4 linked regions of the Danio rerio genome follow. The protein of the gene in region 2 interacts with the protein of the main gene of each other region in a biochemical or structural test. Links are inferred from orthologs where the notes say so. Each region holds a gene or a part of one and is shown on either strand. Other genes may lie near its edges.

Region 1 (4,086 bases), on a different chromosome or scaffold from region 2:
TCTATAACCCAGTTAAAACATAAAAAAAAAACATAAAAACAAATGTTATTGTAAGAAAGATAATTAAACCATGTGTTTATAAATATAGATTCAGTAAACATAATTAATAAACAAGAGTTATTAAAGGGCACCTATGATGAAAATCATCTTTTGGACAGAACTGTGTGTAGGTATAGTGTGTTCACAGTCATATTGGGGTGATATAAAGACAATAAGCCTCTATTTTTTTAATTTCCTGACGTTAAAATAGGATCCAAATCCCCTCCATTTTGAGGCCGACCACAACGTGACATAGGAGTGAGGTTTCCCCGTCCACAGAATTGACTGACAGCCGTGAATTAACATCCATAGTAATGCGTTTAATCATATCAACAAGACAGGACGTGCGCAAAGCAACTGGGATTAAAAGATCTGTTCAGCTCTCTGTGATCATCAGTCATCATCAAATATGATAAAGAATAAGTTTTACAAGTTTAAAACGTTTTTAAAACAGTGCATGTTTGTAATAAAGTAGGTTAAAGATGGTAAAATCGCATTAATTCATCACCGCAGCCGCATATCAGTACAATTGTAAAAGAAGGCGCTTCAATCCCGGTTTGTGGACGTTAAATAAGCTTTATTTTGTACATTAACATAACGGATATCAGCTATACAGCAGTGGATATTAGCATGTACCCTGTCACATTTGCGTGCAAAAACAGAGCAAAGTTAAACGCGTGAGCTGTGTGTGTGTGTGTCTGTGTGTGAACTTTGTAAGGACACTGTGTGTGACTCGTTGTTGCAGAAAGGCTTGAATTAACTCCACAACAAATACATCCAATAATCATTGGGAAAGTTCTTACTGTAGTGTTTCTCACAAACCTTACGTGAGGTCTGCTTCCTTCATATCTGTAACTGTGCTGTTTATCTGACAAAGCCAGAGATGAGGACACTGACAATTTGCCATCGTAATGGCATCATCGGGGGGGTAGGGTTGTCCGGTTATATATGTTTGTGAAAAGCGGGGGGTTGGGGTTTGGGGACAGAGACGGAGTTTGACAGAGTGTGCGCGATGTGTGTGAAGAGCGAGGAGGGATCCGAGAGTCTCAAAGCAGTTGTGGGAGACTCCCGGAACTTCCGGGAGACTTGGGATGTCTAAATATCACGTTTAACAACTACAGTGAGACGCAATCCAGCGGTACATCCTTCATAAACTGTCTGACATGCTCTGCTCACTGAAGCTCAAACGAGCGCATGATAGTGTGTGTGTGTGTGTGGCTGTCTGTGTGTGTTTTCAGCGGACGGAGGGCTGTTCAGAAATGCTGGGTAAAACACGGTGTGGATGTGGATCATTTTCGTTCTAAAATGCCATTTTAACACTAAGACGTATTAATGTAAACAGGGCCTAAGTGTGTGTTTATCGCGAGCGGATTTGCGACGAGGGCAATCGTGTTGTCTATTGGCCATCAGCGATGGACAACGGCATCATCTATCGGCCCAACCCTACTACATAGTGTTCAGAGCGGACAGTCCCAATAGTCTGAAAGGTCTCATAAATAATCAGAAGTGTTTTGAGCTGAAACGTTACAGACAGACTCTGGAGACACAAAAGACTTCTCTTAAATCTTGAAAAAGGGGTAAAATAGGTGCCTTTTAAATAAACTTTTGTTAAAACTTTTATTGAGATGGAAGGATTGAAGGATGTTGGTCTGATTGGGCAGGTTTACATGAATACAGGAAAATTAAGACCTGTTTAACATGATTTAGGACTTACAATACAATGTTTCAGTGAATTTAGGGCCTAAAAGTTTGGATTTTGAGACATTTTAAGACCCCCACGGACACCCTGTAGAATGGAACAAAACTATTTACCGACATATGTACACATTTATTTAACAACATACTCAGTTTACATGTCAATTTGCACATAATATAGCTTTACACACATTATTGCCTAATGTAATATGCATTTGTTTTCTCTATTTACTTATTTAATTCCTTTATTATCAGTGTTTTTGTCCTGTCACTGCCATTTTGATACACTCTTCTGTCACAAAAGCAAACTCCTTGTATGTAAAATCTTACCTGGCAGTGGCAATAAAGCTCTTTCTGCTTCCATATGGAGATACATCCTAATCTAATTATCTTCAAGCACTTGTTTTAACACACATGTTGTTGTTATAAGCAATAAAATGCATAATAATACGATCCTGCATTAGGATCCAGTATAATGTGTGCTGAATATTTGAGACCAGCAGCTCAGGTGTGTGTGTGTGTGTGTGTGTTGATGTACCTGATGGTGTGTCTCTCTCTCCACGTTCTCGCCGTTCACCTCCACCACACGGTCACCCGCGCGCAGTCCCGACGCCTCCGCCGGGGACGCGCGTTCCACTTTCCGTATGTACTGTCCGGTTTTTCCTTTCTCTCCGTGCAGATGAAACCCATAGCCGTTCTCTCCTTTCTTCATTACGCACAAGCGAGGCTTCAAATCGCTTGCCATTGTATTCCGCCGTTGCCTTCACATTCACAAACTTGCAACACAATCCATGCGCGATTTCCCAAGCAAAGAAAAATAAATAAATAAAGCGGAAACTTACGTAAAATGCATTCGCAAAGGTTTATAAACGCGCATCGCTGCCGTATGCCGATGTGTTTACAATAACGCGCATGCAACAATTAAAACAGATATGAAGGCAGAAGACTCTCGTGTCCAAAAGCGCTCGCGAGGAATTACATGCAAAAGTGATAGCGCTAAAAGCAGACTGTGCAACTACCTGTGGATGTTCACAGACGCATCCAAAACTCCTCCATGAGACATTCTGCCCACAGAGAGAGAGAGAGAGAGAGAGAGAGAGAGAGAGAGAGAGAAATGCTGTCCACTGAGAAACTGCGTGGCGTGAAAAAAGACCGCCCATAAATAAGCGACAATACAGATGAGCAGAGAAAGAGGCTTATTTGACCCTCATTAATGTATGTAAACAATGTCAAATAGCAGTTATTGATTAAGGAATCATGTATGTTTATTTTTTTACATAATTTTTATGAACAACTGGTAAAAACTAAATGGGAAAAAATATATATGCACATACATGCAGTACCCATGCATATAAACAGAATTATTAGCCCTATCCCCCAATCTTTGCCATGATGACAGTAAAAAATATTTGACTGGATATTTTTCAAGACACTTCTATACAGCTTAGTGACATTTAAAGGCTTAACTAATTAAGTTGGGGTAATTAGGCAAGTCATTGTATAACAGTGGTTTGTTCTGTAGACTATCGAGAAAAAATATAGCTTAAAGGGGCTAATAATTTTGACCTTCAAATGGTTTTAAAAAAATTAAAAACTGCTTTTATTCTGGCCGACATAAAACAAACAAGACTTTCTCCAGAAGAAAAAATATTATCTGACATACTGTGAAAATTTCCTCGCTCTCTTAAACATCATTTGGGAAATATTTTAAAAAGACAACAAAAAAAAAAGAAAAATTCAAAGGGGGGCTAATAATTCTGACTTCAACTGTAAATATTTATGTAAATGTAGATATTACACACACACACACACGTATATATATATATATATATATATATATATATATATATATATATATATATATATATATATATATATATATATATATATAATAACTTAACCAGTTGTGTTAAATATTTGGTCCTTTGTTTGGTCATGTTTAACCTTTATTTGGTTATTTATTTTATTTGGATATATATTTTTATTTGGTTATCTACATTAATAACTCAACCAGTTGGGTTAAAATTTTTAATTTCAACAGTCAACTGATTTAACTGACACAGAACAGCTGTATTCTTTTAATAGTTTTGTATTTTTCTATTTTAATATTTTTGAAAACTGTAGGTTATTTACACAGCCATAATTATAAAAGTATAGTAGTAGTAATAGTAGCAATAGTAATACCAGAATGGAAAAGATAACATTTAGTTGGGTGTATATATTCAGTTGAAGTCAGAATTATAAACCCCCTTTGATTTTTAAATATTTGCCAGATGATGTTTAACAGAGCAAGGAAATTTCCACAGCATGTCTGCTAATATTTTTTCTTCTGGAGAAAGTCTTAATTGTTTG
Region 2 (4,923 bases):
CTATTTGTTAATGGTTCAGGGGCCAAAAGGATTATTTGATTCAAAAAGTCTGAAACGCAAAGAACTTTAGTAAATTCAAGCGCCTTATCAAACACGCAAAAACGTTCCTATATAAATTGCTAGACCAAATATCAAAACACACATTCCCAAGTTATCTAGCTTTCAAAGATATGCACAATACTATCAAACTTTAAATCAGAATAACTTTCTTGCCAACAAATGAAAGAGTCTGTATCTCTTAACATACATTCCACACATAACACTGAAAAAAAAAGAAAACTGCACTGAATGAAGCAACCATTGTACCCTACACTAGCCACAACAGATATGGTTATAAACAAAAAAGTGTGAGACTCAAAGTTGGAGAGCCATTCACTTTACATCACTAACATAATACAAAGTTCTGCATGTTATATTGTTGAGCTGCCAACTTACTACCTACACAACCTCAGCTATCTTTAATGAGATGTTAAAGTCTTACAGGAATCAATGGGAAATTTAAGATTGCAATTAATTCATGGCACACTATAAAGTATATTAGCATAAAAGCTCAAACATTCTTTAAATTTAAAATAAAAACAACTCTAAATTAACCAATTATTGATATAAAGGGATCAAACAGAATGCTGAATTTAAACCTTTTTGGTTCAGCGCTGTGTACATGCAAGAACAATAGCGGTCTAGTGTTAGTAAGGCCAGTTTTCTTCATCTTGAAACTCTCTATACTGATTTTAGTGTAATCTAGACTAACTTTACATATTTTAAAGTAAAAAAAAGATAGTGTATGTCTAGTTTGCATTCGTTCCTGATCTATGATAAGAATTGTAAAGTGAAAAGTATATATTCTCACTGATCTTAGACAGATTAAATGTGTATGTCTAGTTAACGATCTTTCTGATGTGTGATAAGAATTGTAAAGTTAAAAGTGTGTATTCTCACTGATCTTTGCCATAGATAGCATTGCTTTATCATTATAGCAAAAGTGGACTGAAAGAATGAAGTCATTCTTAAAATTTATTCCTGACAGTGTGTTTTAAACGCAATAAGTGCATTGCATGATGCAATGCAATGGGTCAATATAGTGACCCACACACCATCTGAGCAGGCTGGGGCAAATCAATGTCCATGCGATCAATTCATTTACAGGATGGCTCATGTAATACACTAGACCTTGTTCAATGTATGCATATGCTAAAAATTGAACGATTATCAAAACATGCAAAGGCATGGCATACTCTTAATGCTATTGAAAAGTGAATTTATTGCTCATCTTGAATGTATTGATCCTGCCCTCTATCTATCCTTCTAGTCTTTGTTAATGTCTTATATATAAATATTATTCTTATATATAAATTAATCTTATATGCGAGTTTATATTACAGAACAGCTAAGAGTTATATAAAAGGACAATGGACTGTAGATAAACATCAGACTTGGCGGTAAAGCTCCATCAAAAGGATCTTCAATAACACTGAAACCTGCTGAAATAAAACCAGACCTCTCGTGCTTTAACACTTCATCAACCAGGATATAAAGCTACTGCCTGAAAGCAACGATCACAAGCCAAATAACGTATATGCATACAATACCTGTGCTTGAAATTGTCAAATGACGTTGACATATTGCACAAACGGGGGAACAAACGTCAATGACGCTTCTAATATAAAGCGCTGCACTGCACGAATCCCTTCCTGCGATTACAAAAAGGCATATTTCACATACTAAAGCATTTCCTTTTGTTCGCCTGCGTGTGAACGGACTTGTTTTTTTTTTTTTTTTTGGTCAATCAAAACTACAAGTTGAGCGCAAGCATCTATTTTCTGCGAGCAGCTGATGCAATGCTCTTTGTGTGACACTGCTTGTGCATTTCATCTAATCCATCGCATTATATAAACCTGCGACGCGTCTTTTGTTATTAACCCCCAAACTGTCTTGATCTGAAATGTAAACATTTTGGGAGTTAGATTGCAGATTAGCGGTCAATCGATAGATCAGATTACGTAAAATGAGGAAAATGACATTTTATGACCTCACTGGAGTTGCTTATATTGTAGTCGTCACATGTAACTTGCAGACAAGCCTAAAATAACCGTATAAATGAAACGACGGCTCGATAACGTGGATAAATTAACAACTGACATTAATCTAAACGGCGTTGAGCTGATGCAGGAACAGAAACCAACTGATCTAGATCACATCATGTACAATCGGGGACTCAGTCAATAGTTCCTATAAAAAGGGAAAAGCAAAAAATGTAAATAAATGCTCATAGCTTTTTATATTCGGACGGGACGTCAGAGATTTCTTGATTTGGAACAAGATGCAAGCCGTTACCTTCATTGCCGACACTGGTTTCAACACAATAGACAGAACAGGGACATTTGATTGATCAAAGAGGATACATGTCAAGTCCAAGTCGAACCCGTCTTCTTGGTATCTCCTTTTATTTCTACTGACAAATTCCTTTATGATCGCAGCCATGGCTGTGACAGGAGTCTTTAGGGTTTTTAGTGTGAGAGAGAGTATTGTTGCTTTCGGACGGTCGGTCGTCTTTATGCTCTGCTCGTTTCGCAGTCCCCCAGCTAGCTAGAATGGAGTCTGCTGTGGCTCACTCATCAAGGGCCTCGCTCCAAACCACCACAGGCCCGGCTTCCAAAATGCCCTCCTCGGCTCAGACGAGCCCTGGGTGAAAAGATAAGCAACTTCCCACGTCTGGAACTGCAGAATCTCTAGTGCACGACAAGTCTCTGGTCGCACCGAAGCCGCCGTGATTGAGCGGAAAGGCGGAGAGAAAATCCTCTCCGGTGCTTCCACTTGAAGATCGGTCGTCAGAGCCCCGCTCGCACTCAGCTCGCGCTCCGTCTAGCCTCAACGGCTAACGCGCTAGCCCGTCTACACATCCTTAGAAAATAAAAGCCATTAAACTCTACGACAATCCGCGATGACCAGGTTCCAACACATGAAACAAAATGTGACAGCCTCCACCAAGAAATGAAAAACTCGATATTTAAATGTGGCGTAAGAGACACCTCCGGTTCTGTCCTTATCCTCCACTGCTCCACTGCCTGTTACACTCTCAAACTTCCATCATGGCTTCCCATTGAAAAAAGATGACGTTCGGACGACATATTCATCCGCATTGGCAAATAGTTCTACGGCTATTTCATTTTATGTCAACAACAAATATGTTTTTGCATCCTAGTATATAAATATACTTATTTTAAAGCATTCTTGTTGAGCTGACATGGCGTTAAATTAAGTAATATATCAACTATCTAATGTTAGGGTTACTGCGAGCGCACTAATACACAGTCGGACTACGTTTTGTTCCACGGTCACGTGTCTACAGAAATGAGCCAAGTTCCAATATTTTATATCAGATTTCAAGTCAGTTATGTAGGTGTTCCGCTCCAACATTGTCGTTTCCTTTTATGAAACAAACTCTAATTGGCTTGCCACACAATAACTGAAAGGTACAACCTACGTTTATTTTAGTCCCACTTCTGAACACGGAGAAAATATCAGAATGCACGTAAGTTATGTACCCCTCTCACCAGTGCCTCGACTACCCTGCAGGAAATTACTGAAATGCTTACGCCAGCAGAAAAGTAAGTTACTGCACAGAGGCACAATCATATTACCAGATACCTGTACATTAAATTATAGAAATTAATTGCGCCCACCTGTGATGCTAATTGTATTTAATTATGTATTTGTGTTATAGGCGTGTTCTGTTACGTTTGCTCAGATGTGGATTTTGCCCCAAGGACGAAACGGAGGTGGAAAGTTCTAGCTGCGTTTCAGACAGCAAATCCTTATTGTAGAGCGCCATCTGTCAGAATATTCTAGAATAAAGCTCGTATGCTACAAGACCAGTGGTGCCTAAACATTTTCGTAAGAAGGGCCTAAAACCAAACATCACTGAGAGCCGTGGCCGATGGTAAATATACCAAACTACATTACATTAAAGTTGCCATGAGTGATTTGTTTCATAATATTTCCAAATAATTGTTACTTTGTGTACAAAATAAATGTTACATTAAATTGTATTAACTAATGCAGTATACATTTTTAAAAGAAAACATTATTGCAATAAAACTTAAATGAATATGAATACAGAAGTCAAGCACAATTTGCCTTTGATTTGATTTGCTCACCAAAATCTCTGCATTGCCGGGTGACAGTATGCACATTTAAACAAAATCTGAGTAATTTACACCATTTAATTGAAACATTCAATTTCAGTTAGGCTTTAACAATAAAACAAATAAACAAACAAACAAAGGGTTACATTTAATTTTAAATGACAATCTCAGAACCCTCCTCAATTCTCCCTTTCTTCTCAAATGGGTTGGCGAGACAAATCAAAGGTTACCATGGGCCAACATTAGCCAGCACAGCAGGTCCTACTTTGGAGATCTAAATGCATCAACTTTCTTGTTTTTAATAAATAAATAAAAAATGTGTTTATAACTTTGATATCTCGTTAAAAGTAATGTCAACTAGAAGTTCAGTCACAATGTAAACTGCATCCACTGTGTCAACTGAATGTAGTAGGTACTAGCAGTAGATAAACAAGTTTTATTATTTTGTTATCATTTTTGTATTTTATCCATGATAAATTTCACATTAGCTACATAATATTGTATAGATTATATTTAAGTTTTGTCCTCTCTTAAAAAGTGCAACAAACATACGAATTGATGCAATGAATTTTGTATTCATAATAATGTTATGAACTTGTATGTTTTAAAGACATACAGTTCAGTGTCAGCAGATTTTGAGGTAGAAAAAGATGCTTGTAAAGCACAGATCTGTCATGGTCTAGTCAATGGTAAAAGCAATGTTATTGTAAAATATATTTTGAGGTTTATGTTATAAGGGACTATGCAAAACACTTCAGAACAAGTATAACAAGTCAAG
Region 3 (3,933 bases), on a different chromosome or scaffold from region 2:
TGAATCACAACTAAAATAACCATTAAAGTGTTATGTTAGTCAACATGATCAGTTCCATGAATGAAGACCTATATGAAAAATGCTATGGATGGATGGATGGATGGATGGATGGATGGATGGATGGATGGATGGATGGATGGATGGATGGATGGATGGATGGATGGATGGATGGATGGATGGATGGATGGATGGATGGATGGATGGATGGATGGATGGATGGATGGATGGATGGATGGATGGATGGATGGATGGATGGATGGATAGATAGATAGATAGATAGATAGATAGATAGATAGATAGATAGATAGATAGATAGATAGATAGATAGATAGATAGATAGATAGATAGAGATACTATGATTATGCAATAGACAAATGGACAGACAGACAGATATAGATAGAACGATAGATAGATGGATAGACGGCAGGCAGGCAGGCAGGCAGGCAGGCAGGCAGGCAGGCAGGACAGACAGACAGATAGATAGATAGATAGATAGATAGATAGATAGATAGATAGATAGATAGATAGATAGATAGATAGATAGATAGATAGATAGATAGATAGATAGATAGATAGATAGATAGATAGATAGATAGATAGATAGATAGATAGATAGTATGATGACAGAAAGATAAAATGATAGACAGATTGCAAAATATATAAATCAACATGGCTAGATAGACAAAATTAGATGGCTAGAACCATAGATAGAACGACAGACAGGCAGGCAGGCAGGCAGGCAGGCAGGCAGAGAGACAGACAGACAGACAGACAGACAGACAGACAGACATATAGATAGATAGATAGATAGATAGATAGATAGATAGATAGATAGATAGATAGATAGATAGATAGATAGATAGATAGATAGATAGATAGATAGATAGATAGAACATTAGACAGGTAGTATGATAGGCATAATGATAGACAGATTGCACGATAGATAAATCAATATGGCTAGATAGAAAATTAGATGGCTAGAACCAAAGATAGAACGACAGAAAGACAGACAGATAGATAGAAAGAACAACATATAGAACGGTAGATAGAATGACAGAAAGATAGAACGACAGATGATAGACAGACAGACACAAATGAAGATATTTTGAAGAATTTACGACTTCTATAGTACTTTAGTTCCTACTATGAATATTGCCAGTTTTTGAGTTCTTTCAAAACATGTTATCTTGTGTTCAACAGGAGAAACTCATAAATGTTAAGAACAAGCGTGAGTAAATGGTGACAGAATGCTCATTTTGGGTGAACTATACCATGATGAGTTCCTTAAATGTAGAATTACATGAAAAATGCTAAAGTATTATAATTCCATATTCTACGGGGGAAAAAACACAAAAAAAAAACCCTAATAAATAATGACAGCGCATTCATCAAGCTTGTAATTATATATGTGCACCGTGCAAAACAGAAACACATTAACTCCTTCAGAGGAATCCAACCATTAAAACCACTAAATGTTCTATTAGTGCACTGGTTTAGAATGGTAATTACTAGATGTGCATTGCACACTTGAGGGAATGAGTGCATTTGCATAAAATCTGTGGTTGCTGAAGAGGACACACACACACACAGCTCTCTCTAACGCTGCATCTGTAAATCCGTTCATGTCATCCTCTCATCATCATCATCAGCAGCAGCTCAAACAGGGGCTGCTCGATCGCAGATTGATGACTTTCCCAGCACGATCGATAGCGAACCTACAATGTGAACCACTGCGCAAAGGAAAGCAGCAGACACACGCAAAACGCGCACGGATATAGGCAGCTGGTTTTGAGACACACAACATTGGATGATGATGCACTCGGGCTTTTTATAGCTTAATCTCTCACCTCCAGGTGGGCACGTGGGCCTCATAGTCCCAGTATTCCCTGCTCTTCAAAGTGTTGACATCGGCATACACCCGAGACTTACTACCGGCCACCGGGCCGGGCATGGCGCGTGACGGGGCTCAGGGTGTACGAGAAATCTCCAAATCCAAACCAAAACACGCAAAAATAAAATAAAATAAGAGATAAACGCGCAAACACACAAACTCACACACACACAAACGAAAGATCAGCGATTATAGGCAGACCAGCCAGGAGATGTGATTGTATCCGATTGAGGCGTGCGATATCTGATAGCAGCGGCGGAAAAGATAAAGCGCGTTGGCCGCTGAGCAGCGCTCGTTCCCCGGCTTGTCAGCGGCGCTCTGACCGCCTGGAGCTCCGAGAGGGTTGAAAATGAATGGTGGATAGTCTGTGAAATGCTCCGGCAGTGCGAATGCGACGTCTATTTCCGATCTGAATGTGTTGAAGTTTTGTGAAAAGTTTAAAAATAGATAGTAGGCGGGGGGGTTTGTTTAAATCTAATTATTGTGGGTTAAACCCCCCCACCACCCCAAAGGGGCCCCAAATCCCTAAATCCAAAGCATAGAGAACCGAGAAGAAAAACAAAAAGCGCCAGGATGTGATTCCTCTCAGTCTGGAGTAAGTGGCGTTGCAAAATATAGTCCACGGTGAGTGAGTAGAATTTAACTAACCAGTGCCTAAGCTGGATATTGACTGGTTAGAGAGAGAGAGAGAGAGAGACGGAGAGAGAGAGAACGGGAGGCGGTGGACTCGAGATCGATGTTTAACTGATCTCCGCTAAAAACCGTGTCACAGTGACGTCGCGTGCGTAGCCGTTATGCAGGAATCGCGAAAAACGTTTATAATCCCGTGCAGTGCTGTGCTTGTTAGCGGGGTTCGGGTTTTCCGGACCAATCCCCCCCGTGCTGCTGCAGGAAAAAACGGACAGCTACGGTTTGACCCGGAAGCTCATGGTAGCTTTATCAATTAGCATCGAAAATCCGGAAGTACAAGTTGCTATGGCCAGTGGGCACGTCTGTCCGTTGCTATGCGCCCATATGTGAAACACTTCCGTTTGCACAACAGACTGACGCATGAACAACAGTCCCGTAGCCAGGCCAGGGGGAGGGCTCGGGTGGTTCGAAAGACGGTCAGGATGGTCAGGGTATATTCTGGCAAACCGCATCCAGAATTTGGATCATACGAGCTCATGTGTACTATTTTGAATGCTACGCCATCATACATTGTGAAAATAACCCATGCATTGAAAAAGGTTGTTGTGACTTCAGCTAATCAGTTTTAGCCAACACTAAAACTCCAGCTGTGCGAGAAACAATACACTCTGATGAAGTGAAGTCATCTTTTTGCTACTGTACTGTTTTTAAATAAAGAAAACATTGCACAAGTGACTTTTATTTTTGAAACAAAAAGTGATCGATTCGATAAAAAGGTGTGAAGCACCAGCAGCCTAATAATTTGAATACCAATTTTGCTTTTGTTGTTGTCCATGGTTTTCCAAATGTAGGCCTACTTTTTTACCAGAGAGACTACAAAAATCGTGAAGCTCTACATTATTATTATTAGTAGTAGTATATTGTGTTTTATTTTTATGTCATTCAAATGGCCAAATTCTTCTTTTTCTTTGGTTTTATTAATGCCACAAGAACAAGATATACATTTCACATAGCTTTCTGAAAGAGAAAAATATCGAAAATAAATAAATAAAAACACATTTACATGAAAAATGTTTTCAGAGCATTACATGTTTTCAGTGCTTTTTGTTTTGTGATTGTAATTAAAGATTTATATATAATTTGAAGTCATTCAGAAAATGGGAAAAGTTTGGTTTACACTGAGCCCACTTTTTCTTATGTATTTGGTATTTTCCTAACATAAACAAATTAAAAATATGTTGTCCTTTACAGTTCAAGTTCTCGTTATCAGAATAAAACAGCCCATCGAATAAACAAATTTCTATCTTATGCTTCATTGTTTTGTTAAAAAACAATTCCAAATATTTCTGAAATATTCTTGAGTAAATACAATGATAAAAAAGATCTATAATAGTTTCTTTTTCTTGACCACA
Region 4 (4,255 bases), on a different chromosome or scaffold from region 2:
CATCACAACTTGTCTAGTCTGAGAGATCCATAAATTAACAGCAAATTTTCATTTTGGGGTGAATGATTCATTTCTTTAATAGTTTCAGTGTATATTCTAACACATTGTACAACATACATTACATGTCATACATTTATAGCAAAGTTATAATAGTTCTCTACAAAAATGTAATTGGTCATATAGACAGTAACTTTAGCATGCACTGAGAAATGGCCATTTTTAAAGGGCTGGTAAACTGAAAATGTATCATGTATTAAAATCAACTCAGGTTTAAGCATGTTTTCCCTTTCTCATTATTCTAACATTATTATATTCTGTGAAAACAACTGGAGGCATGTACATTGTCCAGCCTATACAGCTGAATGCCACAAAAGTAAACAATTAGATACATAATATTGATCTGAGCTGTAAAATTTTACTGGTTATTTAACTAATTGTAAAGTTCACTAAAAGTTTACTCTTTTTTTTTTTCAACAAACAGCTCTTAAGATTTAGTCACCAAAAGGTGCCAAGCAGTCAATAACAGTAAACACACACACACACACACACACACACACACACACACACACACACACATACATACAGTACATTCAACACGCACATATATACATTTATACATTTTCAGTGGTTGTTGTCTGGGAATAACATACGTTGGAATGTCATGATTGGCATTTAATATATATATATATATATATATATATATATATATATATATATATATATATATATATATATATATATATATATATATATATATATATATATATATTTATTTATTTATTTTTTAAATACAATACATACCACACTATGGAATATGAAAAATAATTTTATTGATTACTGATCAATATGTATTCCTTTATTTGGATTCACAGGTGTCAAACAGTTTCTGGAGGGCTGCTATGTAGTCAATATATATGCAATAATTGAATTTTTCCCTTTGCAGTTAACAAACCAAATTTTTATTTCTCAAAAATGTACTTTCCCTTTGCACTTTATATATATATATATATATATATATATATATATATATATATATATATATATATATATATATATATATATATATATATATATATATATATATATATATATATATGGCCCTATATTGACTCCATAGCTGCAGATTTGCACAGTTCAACTTTAACCCTAATTAAACACACCTGATCAAACTAATTAAGTCCTTCAGACTTGCTTTAAACCCCCAGGTAAGTGTACCAAACAAAGCAGGGTTGGATCTAGACTGCGCAGAGCTGCAGTCCTCCAGGAACTGAGTTTGGCACTTTTAGAAAATTCTAGTTTTGTAATATTACCATGAGATGCTGAAGTGAATCAAGTCATACATACGACACACTAGATGGCGATGCTTTAGTTATGACGATGACGTGACGCCGGAAGCTGTGAAGTCTGTGGTGCGCGCACGCTTATATCCCATCATTCCTTTCTGTCTCTTCCTCTTTCCCTTTCAGCGACTATGTCTAAGAGAGGTAAGAAACACACATGAAAATCCGCAATCATCCTTAAAATGAGGAGCATTTAAGCCCCCTAAAGTAAAGCACAGGTTTATATGATCATGGAGGATGTGTATTTCACCCATATTGATGTCAATTCTGAATTTTAACTTGGATTAAAACAGAAATGTACACTTTCCGCTAGCAAGAGAAGCCATGTTTGCTAAGTACGCAGAGTGAAGCTCGTGGAGCCAGTGGTGGGATGTTGGAACTCTTCATATTTGAACCGTTTTGTTCGTAAGCAAGTTTTGGAGTAGAGCTTTATGATAGCAGCCATTTAAAATCAGTGAAGAGCAGCATTTGTGAGTAGTTAATTCTACAATATGCGGTGAAACCGGTAGACGCTCGTCTGAATGGTGGAAAGTGTAGTCGCACGATTGTATGTCAGGCTAACGTGTAAACGTGCACTATTAAACCAGTGCACAACGGGCTTCCACACCAGAAATTCTCCTTGAAATGTTGTCATCGTAAATATTGCGTTTGTGTTGTGTGGAGTCAAGCTTGTCCGGCAGCAAACGTCTGTTCACTTGCAACTGTATCGACAGGTACACACTTAAAGGTGTAAGTTAGGGAAATAATTCCGTACCAGACATTATTCTGCACAAGTTCAAAGCTTGTGTCATTTAATTTATCAAGTTGACAAGTCTAGGCAGAATAAGTTGTCTTCATTCGTTTTCATTTAACTTTTAATGCATCTATAGTTACTGGTGTTGACAGTTTCAATTGTTTTTTTTTTTTTTCAATGTTTTATTTCATAATTGGAAGTGAATGAATGAATTGTTGCTACTTTGGCAAGTTTTTGTTGTAGATATGCAAAATCAAAACATCAAGTGTTTTGATAGATTTATGGAGTCAGGTTAATTTAGCCAGTGTGCTATTCATGTATTATCTAAAATTTAAACCTAGTCTGTATTTTGGTGGTTTTGCTGTTTTTGTGAATTTTATTAATTTTGGTCCTCCTGTTTAGGACGTGGTGGGTCATCGGGAGCCAAGTTCCGCATCTCACTGGGTCTCCCAGTGGGAGCGGTCATCAACTGCGCTGACAACACAGGTAAGAAACTTGCCTTCGTTGATGAGACCAACTGAAATAATTTATTCCAGATTTTCATTTTTCTAAGTATTGCTTGGTTTATATTTCTTCTTAAACTCATATTTTTAATGGTTTGAAATTGTTAGAAACCAAGGCATGAACATTTCATAACTTAACTTGGACAGTTCAAACCACAGTGACGGATGTTTGAGACCTAAACAAACATGGATGGTCACCATGTCACAGCATGTCACTTTTCAGACATTACCTGATTAAACAGGAACCAAATTCAGAACGTTCTTGCAGAAGTCATTGGTCAACTAAAATGGTCTGTTGTAGTCTGAATTGGCCTTCAAGTTCTTATTAAAAAATTGTTGAAACTTCAGCTTAAAAAATCCTTTAAGTTAATTGAAGTACATTTAGTCCAACAGTAACATTTGTATTGCTTTGACTATTTTAATTTAAACTTTAATTTTTACAAGAGCTGGTGTGAATGCTTGTCTTGTGTATAGTTTCTAGCATAACATTGAAGTGCTGTTGAAGCAGCAGTTCGGAAGATTACTTAAGGCCAATTACTTTAAGTTTTGCAGTTCAATCTGGTTTCAGTCTGTAAATTATTTGAGCTTCTTGTCCTTCTTAAAAGCACTTGCTTCGTCTGCTCAGTGGCTGGGTGAGTTGTCGTGGAAGGAAAAAGTGAACCCCATTACTCTTGGGTGAGATGGCAGTCTCCACATGCTGTTTAATCTCAATCCGTGATGGAACAAATCTTTGCTTTTTCTTATTTCCAATCAGCTGAGGGTCAGCAGACATGCTGAACTTAGCTCAACGGCATTGAATATGCCAATTACAAGTTCATTTACTCAACTCTGCCTTTTCTCTCACTTAGGTGCCAAGAACCTGTACATCATTTCCGTCAAAGGCATCAAGGGTCGTCTGAACAGGCTGCCTTCCGCCGGTGTGGGTGACATGGTTATGGCCACAGTGAAGAAAGGCAAGCCAGAGCTCAGGAAAAAGGGTGAGTGCTTTCACAATTGGGCTTTATTATAGATGTTAAGTGAAAGGCTAGCATTAGACAGTCATACACCACACGAGAAGTGTTGTGCAGTGAATGTGAAGTTAAGACAAGTTCAAAATTTAATAAACTGGTAAAGGTTTGACTACGTAAATGACAAAAGGGAAGCTCAATCTTTTTAAGTTGCACTTTACAGTATGTTTTACTGGAGTTCTTTCATAAGAACATACTTTATTATTTGAGGTAACTATGGGAGGTAAGGTTAGATTCATGGGTAGGTTTAAGGATAATACCTAGTTATTACTCAGTTGTAATGACTATGATAAATCTATAGCCTATGCAGTGCACCGCATAATTGCGTACAACATTTTGACAATTAATATTTTTATTTGTATCACCAGAATATAACTATTTTTGTGCATTTTGAACCGGTTTTATCAATCCATTATGTCCATTAAAGGGCTTGGTCACAAACATCTTTAGAACTATACAGAATGCATCTAAATTTAAGTTATTACAATTTATTACAAAGTACAGTTTGAATTAAATTCAGGAGAAAACAAAAAAAATTTATTTAATTTTACCAACGTTTATTGATAACTTTTTTTTTATATATATATATATATATATATATATATATATATATATATATATATATATATATATATATATATATATATATATAAATAAATAATTTTTTAGTTA

What was found. The genes of interacting proteins can lie anywhere in the genome.
Region 1: the proteins of ptenb (region 2) and Na(+)/H(+) exchange regulatory cofactor NHE-RF2 form a complex in vitro, tested with the Homo sapiens proteins (2 studies listed by BioGRID and IntAct, with this or other methods). The link is inferred for Danio rerio from reciprocal best matches to the Homo sapiens genes PTEN and NHERF2.
Region 3: the proteins of ptenb (region 2) and csnk2a2b form a complex in vitro, tested with the Homo sapiens proteins (2 studies listed by BioGRID, with this or other methods). The link is inferred for Danio rerio from reciprocal best matches to the Homo sapiens genes PTEN and CSNK2A2.
Region 4: the proteins of ptenb (region 2) and rpl23 form a complex in vitro, tested with the Homo sapiens proteins (2 studies listed by BioGRID). The link is inferred for Danio rerio from reciprocal best matches to the Homo sapiens genes PTEN and RPL23.

Annotation. Positions count from the first base shown.
Region 1 is NC_133178.1:11,799,130-11,803,215, reverse strand, and holds the start of Na(+)/H(+) exchange regulatory cofactor NHE-RF2, read right to left. Parts: upstream 2,801-4,086; 5' UTR 2,480-2,800; coding exon 2,273-2,479; intron 1-2,272.
Region 2 is NC_133187.1:19,018,029-19,022,951, forward strand, and holds the start of ptenb (phosphatidylinositol 3,4,5-trisphosphate 3-phosphatase and dual-specificity protein phosphatase PTEN), read right to left. Parts: upstream 3,105-4,923; 5' UTR 2,482-3,104; coding exon 2,403-2,481; exon of another isoform or gene 2,335-2,402; intron 1,890-2,334; exon of another isoform or gene 1,590-1,889; intron 1-1,589. UniProt on the Homo sapiens protein: Dual-specificity protein phosphatase, dephosphorylating tyrosine-, serine- and threonine-phosphorylated proteins.
Region 3 is NC_133200.1:14,587,696-14,591,628, forward strand, and holds the start of csnk2a2b (casein kinase II subunit alpha'), read right to left. Parts: upstream 2,801-3,933; 5' UTR 1,952-2,800; coding exon 1,848-1,951; intron 1-1,847.
Region 4 is NC_133178.1:32,233,304-32,237,558, reverse strand, and holds the start of rpl23 (large ribosomal subunit protein uL14), read left to right. Parts: upstream 1-1,455; 5' UTR 1,456-1,471; coding exon 1,472-1,484; intron 1,485-2,475; coding exon 2,476-2,559; intron 2,560-3,424; coding exon 3,425-3,553; intron 3,554-4,255.